2 linked regions of the Arabidopsis thaliana genome follow. The protein of the gene in region 2 interacts with the protein of the main gene of each other region in a pairwise test. Each region holds a gene or a part of one and is shown on either strand. Other genes may lie near its edges.

What was found.
Region 1: the proteins of CIP8 (region 2) and AT3G52155 interact in a two-hybrid assay, tested with the Arabidopsis thaliana proteins (one large-scale study listed by BioGRID).

The regions. Positions count from the first base shown.
Region 1 is NC_003074.8:19,340,594-19,348,901, reverse strand, and holds AT3G52155 (Phosphoglycerate mutase family protein), read right to left. Parts: upstream 5,208-8,308; 5' UTR 5,163-5,207; coding exon 4,979-5,162; intron 4,946-4,978; exon of another isoform or gene 4,929-4,945; coding exon of another isoform or gene 4,892-4,928; coding exon 4,792-4,891; intron 4,716-4,791; coding exon 4,536-4,715; intron 4,459-4,535; coding exon 4,341-4,458; coding exon of another isoform or gene 4,332-4,340; exon of another isoform or gene 4,255-4,331; coding exon 4,184-4,254; coding exon of another isoform or gene 4,180-4,183; exon of another isoform or gene 3,834-4,179; coding exon of another isoform or gene 3,693-3,833; coding exon 3,689-3,692; downstream 1-3,688. Other genes in the region: AT3G52170 (DNA binding protein), read left to right, coding at 21-1,110, 1,489-1,658, 1,758-1,863; KCS15 (3-ketoacyl-CoA synthase 15), read left to right, coding at 2,311-2,619, 2,702-3,286, 3,372-3,833; PSRP2 (RNA-binding (RRM/RBD/RNP motifs) family protein), read right to left, coding at 5,812-5,850, 5,939-6,241, 6,321-6,422, 6,511-6,828; NOXY38 (tetratricopeptide repeat (TPR)-containing protein), read right to left, coding at 7,607-8,008, 8,125-8,196, 8,291-8,308.
Region 2 is NC_003076.8:25,941,595-25,949,670, reverse strand, and holds CIP8 (COP1-interacting protein 8), read left to right. Parts: upstream 1-4,228; 5' UTR 4,229-4,328; coding exon 4,329-5,333; 3' UTR 5,334-5,556; coding exon of another isoform or gene 5,557-5,660; 3' UTR 5,661-5,680; downstream 5,681-8,076. Other genes in the region: ATH13 (ABC2 homolog 13), read right to left, coding at 82-555; CPR5 protein, read left to right, coding at 1,350-1,736, 2,297-2,353, 2,459-2,494, 2,572-3,786; AT5G64910 (Serine/Threonine-kinase), read right to left, coding at 5,557-5,643, 5,747-5,878, 5,947-5,994, 6,082-6,144, 6,211-6,249, 6,335-6,411, 6,543-6,601, 6,855-6,914 and 5 more. UniProt on the Arabidopsis thaliana protein: E3 ubiquitin-protein ligase that mediates ubiquitination and subsequent proteasomal degradation of target proteins. Probably forms a minimal ubiquitin ligase complex in cooperation with the E2 enzyme UBC8.

The sequences.
Region 1 (8,308 bases), on a different chromosome or scaffold from region 2:
TAATTAGTGTTTGTTTTCAGGCATCAGAAACTAAACAATGGGAGTTTTCCTTCACTTAGCCTCACACACAAGGAGGTTGGTGGATCTTTCTACACTATAAGGGAGATTGTTAGAGAGATTATCCAAGAAAATAGAGTCCTTGGTCCTGGTGACTTGCTACTTGAGGGAAATGGCTCTGTGCAAGATCAAAGTCTGTCAAGTTCAATCCTGATGGATCCTGTGCCCCCTTTATCTTTGTCCCCAAACGGATTTCATTCTGGGTCATATCAAAGTCTTGATTTTTCTTCTGAGTCACCTGAGGGAAACGTTAACGGTAGCCAGGTTTGCTTGGATAATTGCAGGGAAGTGAGTGGAAGTCAACTTTTGAAAGAAGACATTGGGCTCGTACACCAGTCAATGGACTCCACTGACATATCTATGACTCAGCTTGCAACATCTTGCAGTGAAGACAATGATATCAAGAGTAATGCAGGGCTACAAAATAGAATGGAGACAGTGTGCGATAGCGTTGACACCAAACCACAGGATAAAAGACTCGATGTGGATAACAAAGACGAAGGATTTGAGGAACTTCGTTTCATGGAATCAGACGGCACAAAGCCTGTTAACAATGACGATAGAGTGAATGATGCAGGAGCAGCAATGACCGAAATTAAGAACGGATTAGGCACAATTGATATGTCAGCAGAAACAGTTGTTGAGACGTTTCCATTAAAATCTGTGACTTCAACGATGGACTCACCGGATGCACAACCTACTGAGTTGAACAAAGTTTGTGAGGGTGGGAAAGGAACTGAAACGGAGGTGGAAGCTGATCGCAGCACAGTAAATCATGTTGATCTTGGGGAGATTTCATCATCCACTTCATCTGCTGTACTTGAAGACATAGGGACGGAAGTCATTGTTGGTCAAATACCAAATCATATTTCTGTCCCTATGGAAAAGAAAGTTGGAGAGGAAATTGTAAATTCTGCTTCAGTAGATGTTGAATGTGCTGATGCTAAAGAGACAGTTGTTGTGAATGGTGTGATTGGCAACGTCCATGAGACAAAGGAATTTAGTAATGGAACTTTGACAGCTGAACAGAAAATGCCAACATCTAGCACTGAGGTAAGCTTCGTCTGGTATATGTGTGCCTTTTAAATTCTATTTGGATACTGGAACTAGATAATCTTCATGGGTTCGATGCAAGAATTATGTTTGTGTTCCACAGGTTGTCCTAAATATTCTCTTAGTTTTCCTATCTGAGTTTAGGATAAGGTTTTTCATCATAGTGGCTGAAGGACGTTAATGATGGAATAGTCAACCTCTTGAATGTTTTAAGATGTTTTGGTAGTCAATTTTGATGTTCCAACTTTGAGAACTAAGGTGAAACTGAATATACGCGGAGCTGTTAGTTGATTGTTCTTAAAAACTGAGTTAAACTACTTGGCACATGAAAAATCTAGAAAAGGATGATAACTTTGTAACCTTTTAACTGTGTAACAGTCGGGAAGTCGTAAGAACGACAGAGCAAAAGTGGACACTGTGAGTAGCTATGCCGGGAATGAAGTCGCAAGTGTAGAGAAGAAGGCAACCATGGAAAAAGGGAAAATTGATGCTCCAGATAGTTCCAGCTCTCAAAAAGAAAACAATGCAACATTAAACAGAATTAAACCGTGAGTGAACACACTCCGAAGTCTCAGTTGTGCTTTAGCGTTGTTGGTATTGTGTTTGGGTCTCCTTTTTCACATAGCTTTCGTTCTTCTTGTTTTCAGTGAATCGTGGAAAGGGGAATCTAATATGGGAAGACAAGAAACAAATCCTCTCTTGGCAGTTCTGAAATCTTTCGTGACAGCCTTTGTGAAGTTTTGGTCAGAGTAATAATTCATTGTAGAGATCCGTTGGTTAAACTTTTGTAGTTTTCATTAGTGAGAGTTGGTAAGCTTAATATGGTTTGAAATGTGCTGTACAATTTTTGTGTTGAATGTTTAGGTTACATATAATGGTTTGAGTCAAATATAGTCCAATCAGGGATGAAACATCAGAATTCTGATTATCTTCTTGAACATTTCAACGGAGATGATGGATTTCAGTTGTATGAATTTATCGATTATTGCTTGGAGAATGAGAGATTACTTCTCATTGGTCAAAAAAATGGTAATTACCTGAACCGAGCATTGGTTTAGTTACACCACACCAACTGAATGATGCAGCAAAACCCGCCACTTCAACGGTAACATGCAGCAAAGAAGCCATCTTTCTGTTACACTGACTCATATTTATTTGATTATTTATTGAGAGACCACAAGGTTTTGATGCTTAGTGAAAATGGAAAAAGAGGCAACAAAGATGGTGAATGGTGGAGTTAAGTCAAAGTCACCTAAGGGCAGTCCTGATTTCCTCGGATATAATTTGAGATATGTCAAGCTTGGATACATTTACCTTCTCTCTCTCTCACGTACCTTTTGTTTCTTCCTTCCTCCTCTTCTTCTTCTCTTCATCTTTGTTTCTCGATTTCTCCCAATCTTGGCTTTCCCTTTGTCTACCTTCTTCATCCTCCTCATCTATCATTATCTTACTCCTTCCTCTGTTTTTCTTCTCGATTTCTCCTGTTACCGCCCACCCGATCATCTCAAGGTCATCATGTCTCTTCCATCCCCACCTCTCTTCTCTCTTTCTCTGTCTTCTCATTGTTGTTTTGTGGATGTAAATTGTACAGATCACAAAAAGCGACTTCATCGAGCTGGCAATGAAGTCTGGTAACTTCAACGAGACTGCCATCGAGCTTCAAAGAAAAGTGCTGGACCAATCAGGGATAGGAGAGGAGAGCTACATGCCGAGAGTGGTCTTCAAGCCTGGTCACAGGGTCAATCTTCGTGATGGTCGTGAAGAAGCAGCAATGGTGATCTTTGGAGCAATTGATGAACTTCTTGCAGCGACCAAAATCAATGTGAAGCATATCAAGATCCTGGTGCTAAACTGCGGAGTCCTCAACACCACGCCATCTCTATCGGCCATGGTGATTAACCATTATAAGCTGAGGCATAACACAGAGAGCTACAATCTTGGTGGTATGGGGTGTAGCGCCGGAGTCATAGCCATTGATTTAGCCAAAGATCTTTTAAACGCTCATCAAGGCTCTTACGCTTTGGTGGTGAGCACTGAGATAGTAAGCTTCACTTGGTACTCAGGTAATGACGTCGCGTTGCTTCCACCAAATTGCTTCTTTCGAATGGGAGCAGCTGCAGTTATGCTATCTAGTCGGCGTATCGACAGATGGCGAGCCAAATACCAACTTATGCAGGTGAGAAGAACAAAGAAACACTCTGATTTACTCTTGCTCTGTTCTTTGTTTTGACTGATGACATTGTAACTGGTGAATAAAACAGCTAGTAAGAACCCATAAAGGCATGGAAGACACAAGTTACAAGAGCATAGAGTTAAGAGAAGACAGAGATGGGAAACAAGGACTATATGTATCTAGAGATGTAATGGAAGTTGGGCGCCATGCACTGAAAGCAAACATTGCAACGCTTGGTCGTCTTGAGCCTTCCTTTGAACATATATGCGTATTAGCATCGAGTAAGAAAGTACTTGATGACATTCATAAGGATCTCAAGTTGACAGAAGAGAATATGGAGGCATCAAGACGGACATTGGAGCGTTTCGGGAACACATCAAGCAGCAGTATATGGTACGAGCTGGCTTACCTAGAACACAAGGCGAAGATGAAAAGAGGAGATAGGGTTTGGCAAATCGGTTTCGGGTCAGGGTTTAAATGCAATAGTGTTGTATGGAAAGCCCTAAAAAACATTGACCCTCCAAGACATAACAACCCATGGAATCTCTGAGGATTCATCAAAGTTAACAATTGTATGATAACATGAATAAAATAACCCACCAATGCAAAATCCACAATTTATTCAAATAGTGTGATTGCATTTGAACATATCCCTGATGCTAGGATCTTACATTAATAAGGTAAACAAACAATAAAGAGACGCAATCTACTCTTGATTTACTCATCTGTTTCAGTAGCTAAAAACTGAGCTTAATTATGCACATAAGGATGAGACGTTGCAACCTTTTTATATATATTATGCAACAGACATGAAGTTGAAGAATGACATACTGTAGGAGCAAAAGTTGCAACCATGGAAAAAGCTAAAAATTGAAGCTTTGTAATGTTCCATTCTCTTACACAAAGATGCTACTATCTGGAGCCACTAGACCCTCAAGTTTCCATCCACCAGGCCCGGACAGCGCAAAAGCCTGTGATGGCCAAAAGAAAGAATTAGCTCCAAATCAAAGAAAAAGCGAGCTCATGCATATCTGAAAAAAGGATTGAATCAACAAACTTCTTCCCAGGAGTTGCCAAAAGCCTGAAGCAAAGCAGCATTGCATGTTTTCAACTTAATAGAAGCTCCAGAGAGCATGGAAGCTGCTTCTTCCCAACCCTTATTATGCCCCATACACCTATATGTATCAATCAAATAAGAAATGATAACACAGCACAAGTAAGATGAAGCAAAAAAGATTGATGAGAAACTAACATGATAGTGGAGATATCAGGGGTTGAATATTTGGAGATAATGTTTTGAAGATGCTCGGCTGTTTGGCCATCCATAGCAGCAATGGAGTAAAAGCTAGGAATGAAATGTACATTTGCCTCCATAAACCCATCTACTTGAGCCTGCATCGACTTCAGTGTCTCTCTAGTCCGAGTGGCGTCGCTGTGAAGTGAATGATTTCAACAATTCTCAATCACGAAATGAAAAACAAAACTGATAATTTGAAGAAGGAACTTACCTTGAGAGAATAAGTTGGGGAAGCCAACCGAGTGAGGAGAGGATTTGAGCTACTTTGGCAGCATCTGCTTCTCCGGTTTTACTTAGAGGACGATCATGGTCTATCGTTAAGACACAGACAGAGAGAAAGAGAGACATTAAAGATTTGATTTTTCGATTTTGAGCGAGAAAGAGGAGAATCAGAGTACCTCTGAGGGAAAGATCATCCCAGGAACTGTGAGCGTGACGGAGAAGGATAAGACGGCGAGAGATTGAGGTCGACGGAGAAGCAGCGAAGTCACTGACCGCACGAAGTGGAGCCGTGGAGCAAGAATTGGTGCTCCGATTTGGGACGGAGATGAAGAAAGGAGGAAGACACTGCAAGCTAAGCATCTCTGGCTTGATTTTTAGTTAAAGAAAGGTAATTTCTTTATTTCTAATCCTTCGCCGTGAAATTTAAAGATAAGATCGGTACTCAGTTGTTCCAAGGTAGAAGTAAGGACCCAGAGAGAAAAAGTTTTGAACTTGAGACCTCTGAGGAACCGTTGGTCGAGATTTTGATCAGTTTGCCAACGAAAGTCCAATGAGAATCAAGTGCTTCTCGAAGCTCTGGTTCTTCCTCATCGAACAAGGACCGTTGCAAATTTGCAATCAACTTACAACATAACAAGCAACAGAAGAGCTACAGAAGTAGACACTAAATTAAGAAATTTTGAGTGACCAAAGCTCACAAGTCACACAAGTAGCAATTTTACATTGTATGATACATTTATGGAAAGGAAACTTGGTGGAGATAAATTTAGCTTGGGGATCTTCATTATCATCCCTACCTCTGAATTGGATGTAGCATGACTTGTTCATGTCATTGGAGTTCTCTGTTTACACTGCCTAGAAACAAGATTACCACAACTATAAGCTTTTGAAAAGATATGGTTTCATTTTCAACTTAGAATGAATACAAGATGATACACTAAGCTCTAATGATTTGCATTACAAAAACTCTTCAAAGCGATTCTTTTCACATTCTTTATGATCCAATAGGCTAAGCCTTATTCACCCGAATCTTCTGTCCTTCCAGCAACTGCATTTTAAAACCAACAACAAAATGAGACAAAAAGATTATGCACACTCTATAGTCGAAGAAGATGGAACAGTTGAGAGATACTTACCGAATTGTTAAGAGCAACAATGGCTGCTTCCACATCTTCTTCAGAAGAAAACGTAACGAATCCAAACCCGGTGGATTTGGAAGTTCCAGGTACTCTTGAAACCTTAGCACTTACTACTTTCCCTTTCTCAGAAAACAAATTCTCAAGCATCTCTTTTGTAACAGTCTTTGCTAGATTCCCAACATACACTTTGTAAGGGCTATCTACAAATGCTGAATCCTCAGACTGAAGAACTGATAAATCAGGTGATGATGCTATAGGTTTCTCTGTAATGTTAACCTTTATCTCACGCCCTTCAACGGTCTGAGAAACCAAAAACAAGCTCTGTCATATTCAGAACTAAAATGTATAGAACGAAGCAGTTAAGGGTTCAAAAACTTACATTGCCATTCAATTTCTCAACCACAGCATTAGCATCTTCAACTGATTTCATTGTAGCAAACCCAAATCGACGGCTTCTTCCTGAATACTTATCATACATCACCTGATGATATCAACACAACATCAAATAACAAATCTTGATGATAACTAACTAAGAAATAATAGAAGAAGGAGATGTTATGAATAAAAACCTGAACTTTTTCAACAGCACCGTGTTCTTCAACAAGTTTAGTGAGCTGCTCATTGGTCACCGTCCTGGGTATGTTACCGATATACACACGCCTGGCAGCTTCTGAACTAGGGTCCAAAGCGGCGGGTTTTTCTTCCGTCTCCGTTACAGCATAAGGAATGAATCTCGTTCTAGAGCTCCGGGAGAAAGTTCCAGCGAGAGAAGGAAAGGGTTTCGAGGAGAATACATTGACCCGTGTATGCAAAGGAGTGAAGGATTCGGACTGGAATGAGAAGATTGTAGGTTTGATTGAAACAACATTTGTTAGGAAAGTCGCCATTGTAGCAGGAGAGTGTAGGTGTCGATAAGGAAGAAGTTGCGAGTGTCGTCAACATTATCCATTAGCCGTCCTCACTTCTAACCTGTGTGGATAATTGGGCCTTATTAAGGCCTATAATTTGGGCCTAGAAACATTACCCATTTACCCGTCTCTCACGCCGCAGACTTAAACTTAAATGGGTTGATATACACTTAGGTACTTGTTCGGGTTACGCCTGACCACTGTTTTGGCCAGTGACAACATCACTACAGGCCACTGTTCATCTTCATCATTGATGGAAGATGAACATAAATGAAGTATGTGATGATCATTAATGGTTGATCGAAATTGATGTATCCACTCCATGATTCTTCGTTGTTAGTCGAGTTCAATCTAGTGTCCCTCTAAAGTCTAGACTCTAGAGACACAAGAAGCCAAGTAAAAGATTTTTGTATAGAGCACAAAAAAATAGTAAGGCTGCAAGGTTAGGTATAAGCGTGAACTGTGAGCTTATTGGAGTTACTAGAAAATCAATGACGTTTTTGTGGTATAAAATTACACCCGCAGAAAAGTGAGGGGAAAAGAAAAAAGAAAAAAGCCAGACATGCCTGGAAGCGGGACTTACCCAAATCGTTGTGACATAATGGGAAGAAAAACAAAGCTTAACGTACAAAAGCGTTGTTGTCATGTAATGAAATCAGCAAGTGGTTTATCGACTTCCAGAGACAAAAACCAACTTCACTACTTAGAATCGTGCACTTTCTTTGAGCACCATTTTCCTTCAAGATCCTACTGTTTCTTATTTTTTGGCTTTTTGCTTCTTCTTATCCAAAGATGTTAAACCAGCACCTAATCCTGCAGGAGCCAGGTTTTCTGTTTTCCCATTTTCAGAGGATTCTTTCTTCTCTTGTACCTTTGCCTCCCCGTTTTCTCCACCTTTCTCAGACGAAACTGTGGCGGTATTGATCATGTTTTGGAGCTGAGAGAGCGGTGGCATGGCTTGAACTGGAACACCACCCTGGGGGCGAACCAGTAGCCCCTTTGCAGCTGCTTTCTTCCTAACTTCAGCTGCAGCACGAGCTGCTCTTTCATCAAAACCTCTGCCCCGTGGTTGAGTCTCCCCAAGGACAGCAGAGTTCAGTGCATTTGTCCTCCCAGTAGCAGCTGCGTTTTGGAACGCATGTATCAGGTCTGGATGTGCCTATTGTATACCAATCAGGAAAACGATTTCATTATTATTTCAACTCTACAACATCAAAGATAGAGGAGTTATTCCTTTTCAGCAAAATATGCCGAAATCTAAAGCTGCAAGTATACCTTTAGGAGATCGATAGCCTTTTGCGTGTTGGCTGCATTAGCTGCCTGTCCTTTCTGCTTTTGTGCAGTCATCTGATTCAAAACCCAACCAGAAAATTTGAGAAATCCAAACAAAATGTATACTAGATAAATGAGGTTCTCCTCAGTCATTATCAGTGCACCAAACCTGAAGCTCACGCATCTT
Region 2 (8,076 bases):
AAACAATATTAAAGTAGCAAACTTTCAAGGAATTGAATCATTAAACAAAACGATATTGATTAAAAGTACATTACTTTATACCTCAACTTGTTTTTGTTGAGTGTTGTTCTTAAACCAAGCATCCTCTTGACCAATATCTTCTACTCTCTTCTTCCTCACTTCTTCTTTTCTCTTCTTTGTCACTTCCTCCGTTTCCACCGTTACACTTCCGTTCACATACTTCACCAAACTACCGTTACCGTTCAAACGAGCACTTCCGTTAAAATCTCCGTTGACGGATTTTCTCGCAGAGCCGTTACCGTTTAAACGTGCACTTCCGTTGTAATCACCGTTGATCTTCACTGCATTATCACGATCTTCAACAGCGACATTATCGTCTTTAGAAGCTCTGATTAATCTCGTACGAATCCGGAGATTGTGATTGTAGCTTAATCGGTTTCTGGGTAAGAAGATCCCGGCGATTGAAACGGAACGAGTGATTGTTGGAGATTGTCTTGAGTTGAAATTGATGTTTGGTAAAAGCAGAGACGACGATGAAGAAGAAGAAGTCGCCATTGATGGTAATACTTCGGAAGAGAGATCTCAAGTTAAACCCTAGTTTCTCATGGATTATTTGCGTACAAGAGATTTTGAAGAAGAAGAAGAAGAAGAAGGTGAAGACTTGTTGTTTGTTGGCACTTTGCAGTGAGAGGTTTTTTGAGGTTCATGACGAACCACAGAGAATGTTAAAAAAAAAAATTATGATAAAATAAAAGGGGTGGATATGAAAAGGACACGTGGCATAAGATGAGATTAGTGAAGGAGATGTTCTTGTGTTTTGATTGGTTGTGTTAAGACACCTCATCGTGTTATTTATCGGAGCCACAAACATTGTGCGATTTTTTTTATTGTTCCTTTTTCCAAACACTTTTATGGTCCATCTTCAAACCAAACTGATTGGTTCGGTCCTAAACTCGACTACTTGGTATGTTAATCTGGTCCTAAGCTATATGTATGACTTTTAGTTCAATTAAGTACTGAACCGATCCTATTCATTGAACAGAAAGCACCTAGAAACATCAAATTATCGCTAAAAATCGAGTAAACATATTATTACCTATTTAATTGACATTAACATATACATTGTATAATTTGAAGAATTCGTTGAACTTACAAGTTAATTCAGATATTTGGTCAAGTATTTTTCCTATATTAAGCTAATTATGACGAATTTTTAAAAATACAAATTAAATCAGAGGAAAAAGTTGGAAATTCGAAACTTTTCACTAGTCACGAAGCGACCAAAGTCTTACAACTTAAATACTTTTCTCAAAGTTGCAAATTTACCCCATAAGTTATATTTTAAGGCTATGGAAGCCCTCCTCCTCCCTCCTTCGCCGGAACCCCAAAATCAAATCACCAATCCGGCGAATTCAAAGCCAAATCATCAATCTGGTGACGTACATAAAGATGAGACGATGATGATGAAGAAGAAGAAGGATACGAATCCATCGAATTTGGAAAAGAGAAAACTCAAGGGAAAGAAGAAAGAGATTATGGACAACGACGAAGCTTCTTCGTCCTATTGTTCTACATCTTCTACCTCTAATTCAAATTCTACTAAAAGGGTTACGAGAGTGGTTCATAGATTACGAAACCCTATGCGGTTAGGTATGGCTCGACGAAGCGTTGGTGAACGACAAGCTGAAAAATTGGCGAAGCCTCTGGGCTTTTCACTTGCCGCTTTTGCTAATATGGTTCGATCAATTTCCAAACTTTGATCTTTATTGCATCACATAACTGTTTTGATACGAAATTGGCTTTGCTGGTACGGGTTGTTCCTATAGTTGACCTTGCGTGAATACTAGGTTTTGGTTGTGTTGAAAGTTTTGATCTTTAGATAGTATTAAATACAAAGTCTTTCAATTTAGGCTTTGTTGATTCAAAACTGGACAGAGGAGAGGATCTGAATCAGAGTCAAAAGGATTGAATCTGAATTTTCTTCTCTCAGTACTTGCGTGAATTCTTCACCCTGAATCGAAGAGAGGATCTTCTCCTCAAATTATAATCAGAGTCAATCAATAGAAGCTGAAGTTCTTCTTGGGGGTCTCTATGATCGAGCTTCAATGTAACATTGCAAATTTATATTGTCTTCTCTCTCACTTGCCTTAAAGCTTGAGCCTTTCTAGTTTCTACTCGGATTTGTAGTTCTGATTGTGATTTCACCAAATTTCATCCTACCTAGCCGCCAAAGTCATTGACTTGCATATGCTCTGTAGTTCTTACTCTGTTTCTACTCTGTTTTATTGTTCTCTAGGTTATTGCGAGAAAGAATGCCGCAGGTCAGAATGTTTATGTTGATGATCTTGTTGAGGTAAGTAGTATGAACTTCAAATGATTTCTTCTCAGTTTCTGTTCAATCTTTCTTTTGCCATCGTTTTGGTAGTGATACAAGAACTTCATTGATTATGCTCTCCAGATCTTTGCTACTCTTGTCGAAGAATCATTAGCCAATGTAAGCTAAAATCCCCCTCTATGTTTTCCGCATTTTTATATTTATAGACTTTCTGATTCATAATGTTGTGGTTACAGGTTTATGGTAATAAGCTTGGTTCCTTTGCGACCAACTTTGAGCAAACATTCAGCAGTACTCTAAAGATCCTTAAATTGACCAATGAATGTGCAAATCCACATCAGTCAAACAATAATGATGGTGGGAGTTGTAATTTAGATCGCTCTACCATAGACGGATGCTCAGACACCGAGCTATTTGAGAGGGAGACTTCATCTGCTACGTCTGCTTATGAAGTGATGCAAGGCAGTGCAACAGCAACCTCTTTGATGAATGAGCTTGCCCTTTTCGAAGAGACTCTACAACTCTCTTGTGTCCCTCCTAGAAGTTCAGCAATGGCTTTGACCACAGACGAAAGGTTTTTAAAAGAGCAAACACGAGCAAACGACCTAAAGACCGTGGAGATTGGTCTTCAAATAAGAGAGTTAAGGTGCAAAGAGACGGCGCTAGGATTAAAATTTGAATCAAACAACCTGGGGAAAGCGGCGCTAGAGTTGGATGTTTCGAAAGCTGCATTCAGAGCGGAGAAATTCAAAACCGAATTAGAAGATACAAGAAAAGAAGAGATGGTCACAAGAATCATGGATTGGCTCCTCGTAAGTGTCTTCAGCATGTTGGCTTCTATGGTACTTGGCGTTTACAATTTTTCAATAAAGAGAATCGAGGATGCTACCTCAGTATGCGACCAATCCGAGGAGAAAAGTTCGTCGTGGTGGGTTCCTAAACAAGTTTCATCGATTAACTCAGGCTTCAACACCTTCATCTGCCGGGTTCGAGTTTGGGTGCAGATATTTTTCGGTGTGTTAATGATCATTGTCTTCACTTACTTTCTAAACAAACGATCATCAGGTACGAAGCAGACAATGCCGATAAGTTTCATCGTTCTTTTCCTCGGTATATTTTGCGGTGTATCGGGTAAATTGTGTGTGGACACATTGGGCGGTGATGGCAAACTCTGGCTAATAGTTTGGGAAGTGTTTTGCCTTTTGCAATTCGTTGCAAATGTCTTCACATTGGCTTTGTATGGTCTAATGTTCGGTCCTATAAACGTGACTCAAGAGACCAGATCGAACCGTTGTAACAGTATGTTTCCATATTGGGCAAGGCGCAGTGTCGTGTATGTGGTGATTCTGTTTGTTCTTCCAGTCATAAACGGTCTTTTGCCATTTGCAACATTTGGTGAATGGAGAGACTTCGCTATGTATCACCTTCATGGTGGGTCTGACTATGCTTGAGACGAGGAGGCCATCTTTGTATTGTAATTTATTGTAACGATTTGGGTTTTTTAATCTTATTTTATTTTATGGGTGCTGTTGAAACAATTGTATCGCTATTACAAAGTTATGTATTCGAGTTATATGTTTGTATTGTTGTCAAAAGAAATTAAAATTATGCTTTTCGATATGACAAAATTTCATGGGTCAAATGGTACTTTATCTTATCAAGTTTTTGGATAAAAGTGCAAGTCAGTTTTGATTTGGAAGCTGGTTTAAATTGGATTGAACAATTTGATTTTTATGTTTGACAGCAATTGAACAGTTTGATTAAATTGTAAGTATTATGAATTTATGATGATGGTGATATCATATATAGAAGAAAATATTATGATATTGTGGGTGGGTCAAGTGGGTAAATGAGCAGGATTCTCTAATGTCTTAAAAATTCGATAATAATAATACAGAGAGACCTTTTTCTTTTATTTTCTCCATCCTCTTAATCGGCTTATCGGATCCGAATCCGGACCCGAAAGCCTGAAAACCCGACGATTAATTGCACGATGTCCGATGCTCCGTCGTCTTCCCCGGATGCCACGGCGTCGCACTGGTGCTATCACTGCAACAAACGCGTCGTCGTTGAAACCTTAGATGACTTTGTCGTGTGCTGCGAATGTAACAAAGGTTTCGTCGAGTCAATTCAACCGACTCCCGCCGCTTATTCATCGCCGGCGCCACCGCAGCCACTTTCCCCAGATCTGAATGTAGAAGACTCCAGTATTGGCTCGCATTTCCTCCAGATGCTCCGCTTGTTAGCCCACGCGCCTTCTCAGCGTTCACCACCACGACACCTTGATGTTTTATCTTACGAAGATGATTTCTTCAGGTTGGAGCTCAATAGTAGAAACGAAATCGACGATGACGAAGACGAAGATGAAGATGATGGAGATGAAGAAGAAGAGGATGAGGAAGAGAATTTAACCGTCAACGACGAAGAAGACGAAGAAGATGATCTGAGGAGGAGAAATCGTTTTCCTCTCACGACGACGCAGTCGAGAACCGGAAGAAACAGAATTCTCGATTGGGCTGAGATTTTGATGGGAATCGAAGACAATTCGATTGAGTTCCGTATGGAATCAGATCGATACGCAGGAAATCCGGCTGATTACATAGACGATGCAGCCGGATACGAAGCTTTGCTACAGAATTTAGCAGAAGGAGATGGTGGTGGTGGCGGAGGAAGGAGAGGCGCACCACCGGCTGCGAAATCGGCAATAGAGGCATTGGAGACTTTCGAGGTTAGTTCTTCGGAGGGAGAGATGGTTATGGTTTGTGCTGTGTGTAAAGATGGAATGGTGATGGGAGAAACTGGTAAGAAGTTACCGTGTGGACATTGTTACCACGGAGATTGTATTGTGCCATGGTTAGGAACAAGGAACTCTTGTCCTGTCTGTAGATTCCAGCTTGAGACTGATGATGCTGAATATGAGGAAGAGAGGAAAAAAAGAACTTCTACCGTGTCAGATTCTGCTGCTGCTTCTTCTTCTTCTTCAACTTCTCGTTACTGAAGTGGAGGAAATGCCCCCATTTGTTGTTACTTTTGTTGTTACTCTTTCTCTTTAGATTAATCTTTGCTTAGTCTCTCAACACTATTTGGTTGGTTGCATGTTGCATCAAAGAAGCGAGAAAACAGAGAACAAAAAAAAAAAATCCGGCTCCAAAAAGACAATTGTTATTTGTAAGTGTGTTGTATCTTTGGCCTAAACAATCCCATAGTGGTTTCTTTGATTCTCAGTTGTTCATAAAGTTTGCCGAAACAAAAAGGTTCCTGGGTTTAGGAGAAACGGTTACAGGACTTCGTGAGCCTTCCCGAAGTACCTGTTTATGAACGGGGACTGCACAGAGACCAACAAACTTATATCAGATTTTGGCAATAATATTCAGAGTTCCATTGACAAACTAAGTTGGATTTGTTTTGTACCTTCTCAATTCCTGCAGTGTGGGGTGTGTCTGGTGAAGGCAATGGATAAAACTTGTACAACCTCATTTCTTGATAGGCTTTTTTTGTTTCTTCGCTCAGTCCTTCCTTTGCTTTCTCTAGGGCTTCTTGTGCCTGCCAATTGTAGAATCCATTGTTAAGTATATGTGCGGCTCTGTAGCAGAGGGTATGAAACATGATACCGTGTCATAAGCTGCCATAGCTTTGTCACTTTTCTCTTTGACAAACTCCTGAAAAAAGGAAACATATGGGTGAGTGATTTTAGAGACCTCCCTCAAATGAATTCATCAAATCAATTCCAGCTCTTGCTTGCTTACCTCGAACGCAACCTTTTGTTCCGGGAGTAATACCTCCTCATTGATCAGACTGTCGGTGAATTCCTAAAATAAACTGAGATGAGAAGTAATTCAAGTAAGGTGTTTTATTGGAAAAGTCAGATACTGCACCTCAATGACGCTTTTCACCCAGTCATATTCACATTCAACCTGCACAAAGGAAAAGTAAGTTTGATTAAAAATGAAACTACCAAATTGTATTGTCGATCAGTTAAGAAAGACAAAAATAACTTACTGGTGGCTCAGAAGGGAACATTATTTTAACCACAGTGCTCTTCTCAGAGTCATCAACCTTATATGGGTTGTTGATGTCTGCAAATCATAGTAAAACAGTAATATTTACAGTATGATGTCTAGGGAAAACAAATCTCAAGCAAATGAAAACATGGTACTGAGAATATAACATCAATAACAACCAGCTAAGCATCAAAATTAGAGCTCACAAGGAAGGCAATAGTTGAACTTTTTAACACGATCGTCAGGCAAATGTTTGAGAGCAGACCTGCAAAGAAAATATACAAAGCTAGGCTGAATACACCAAATTCTGCACTCGTTAAGTTACTGAATGTGAATGGGAATGATCGAAGAATGCAAAGTGTTGCATCACGTTTTCAGATAAAGCTATCTGCTTCAAAACCATATGTAATGTAATTCTTTTTCCTCTACAAAGCGAATGAACAAATCACGTCTTCTATAACTTCCTAACTTGCATGGTAACAAGACATTGGGAGGAAAAGATACCACAGAGTATTTACCTTCTCTGAGTACAGCCCAAGATGAAAATTGGAAAGTTCTTATTATCAACTTGTCTATCCCTGCAGAAGAACAAAAGCAGATGAAATTAGCAACAACTCCCATAAACATCAAAAGTAAGAAGAGTAATACACAAATATACTATCTGTTTCATTGCTTAAGACCCTCTCACGAAAATATGTGTACAACTCAGGGATGTCTATATACCTTTGTTCAAGTGGGATGTAAGGAACCCAAGCCATTTTCATAGTTTTCATTGCAATAATTTCCCCAACCTCTCCTTGAACCGATGCAACTCCTATCTCATCAGAAGGGGGAATAGGTGAATCAATCTGTAAATAGATAAGAACCAAAATTAACCGTCAGTTATAGATAAACAATATGATCTTGTTTTCCAATCACAATGCCGAGCTTATTTTTCAAACACCAGTGACATGATATAAAAAACGAAACCAAAGCTTACACAAACGACAACAGGAACAAGGACATCCTTGTTTTCATCTTTGTAAGTGACTGAATGAGCTGCAATGATAAGATAGATGATATCAAAAGGGGAAGAGAGAGATGCACATTGCAGTACCAGATGACTTTGCAAGCAAATCAGTCGACAAGATAAATGTCACCTTAATCTAATACCAAGAAACAAATAGTGCTATCTAGGTATAACTTACACTCAGTGCAGCCAAAAACATAGACTTGCTTCCCATAGAGCTCTCCACCTTCCTCCAGAGCTTCCTGTCATACAAAGCAAAGAGTACTTCATAACATACTAGTTAAGCACAGAAAAAAAAGTTATGCCACACTAAATGAACTATAAATTATTAACAATGGGAAATGAAACAGTATTATAGAAGCCACTTACTTCAAGATTTGTAAAATCCCAGTTGAATTCATTAAGTGCATCCTGTTGGTCCCACTGTATTCACAATATACAGAGCATAAGCCACAAATACAACAGTTTGATCATGAGGATAAGAGAGCTCCAAAAGCAATGTTGCTGCCAAACTTCTTGAAACTAAATACCTCCGTTCCCACTGAAAATGTAGCCTTCCACAAATCCTCCTGTTATACAAAACAAACATGAAAACCAAAACAAAGGTTCATAAAACTCAAAATGTTCCAAAATTTCTGAGCAAAACATCATGGGGACGACAAGAAATTATAATTCTATGAAAGAAACATCACACAAATCTTCAAGAAAAGTTTCTATCCAAGACGCTATAA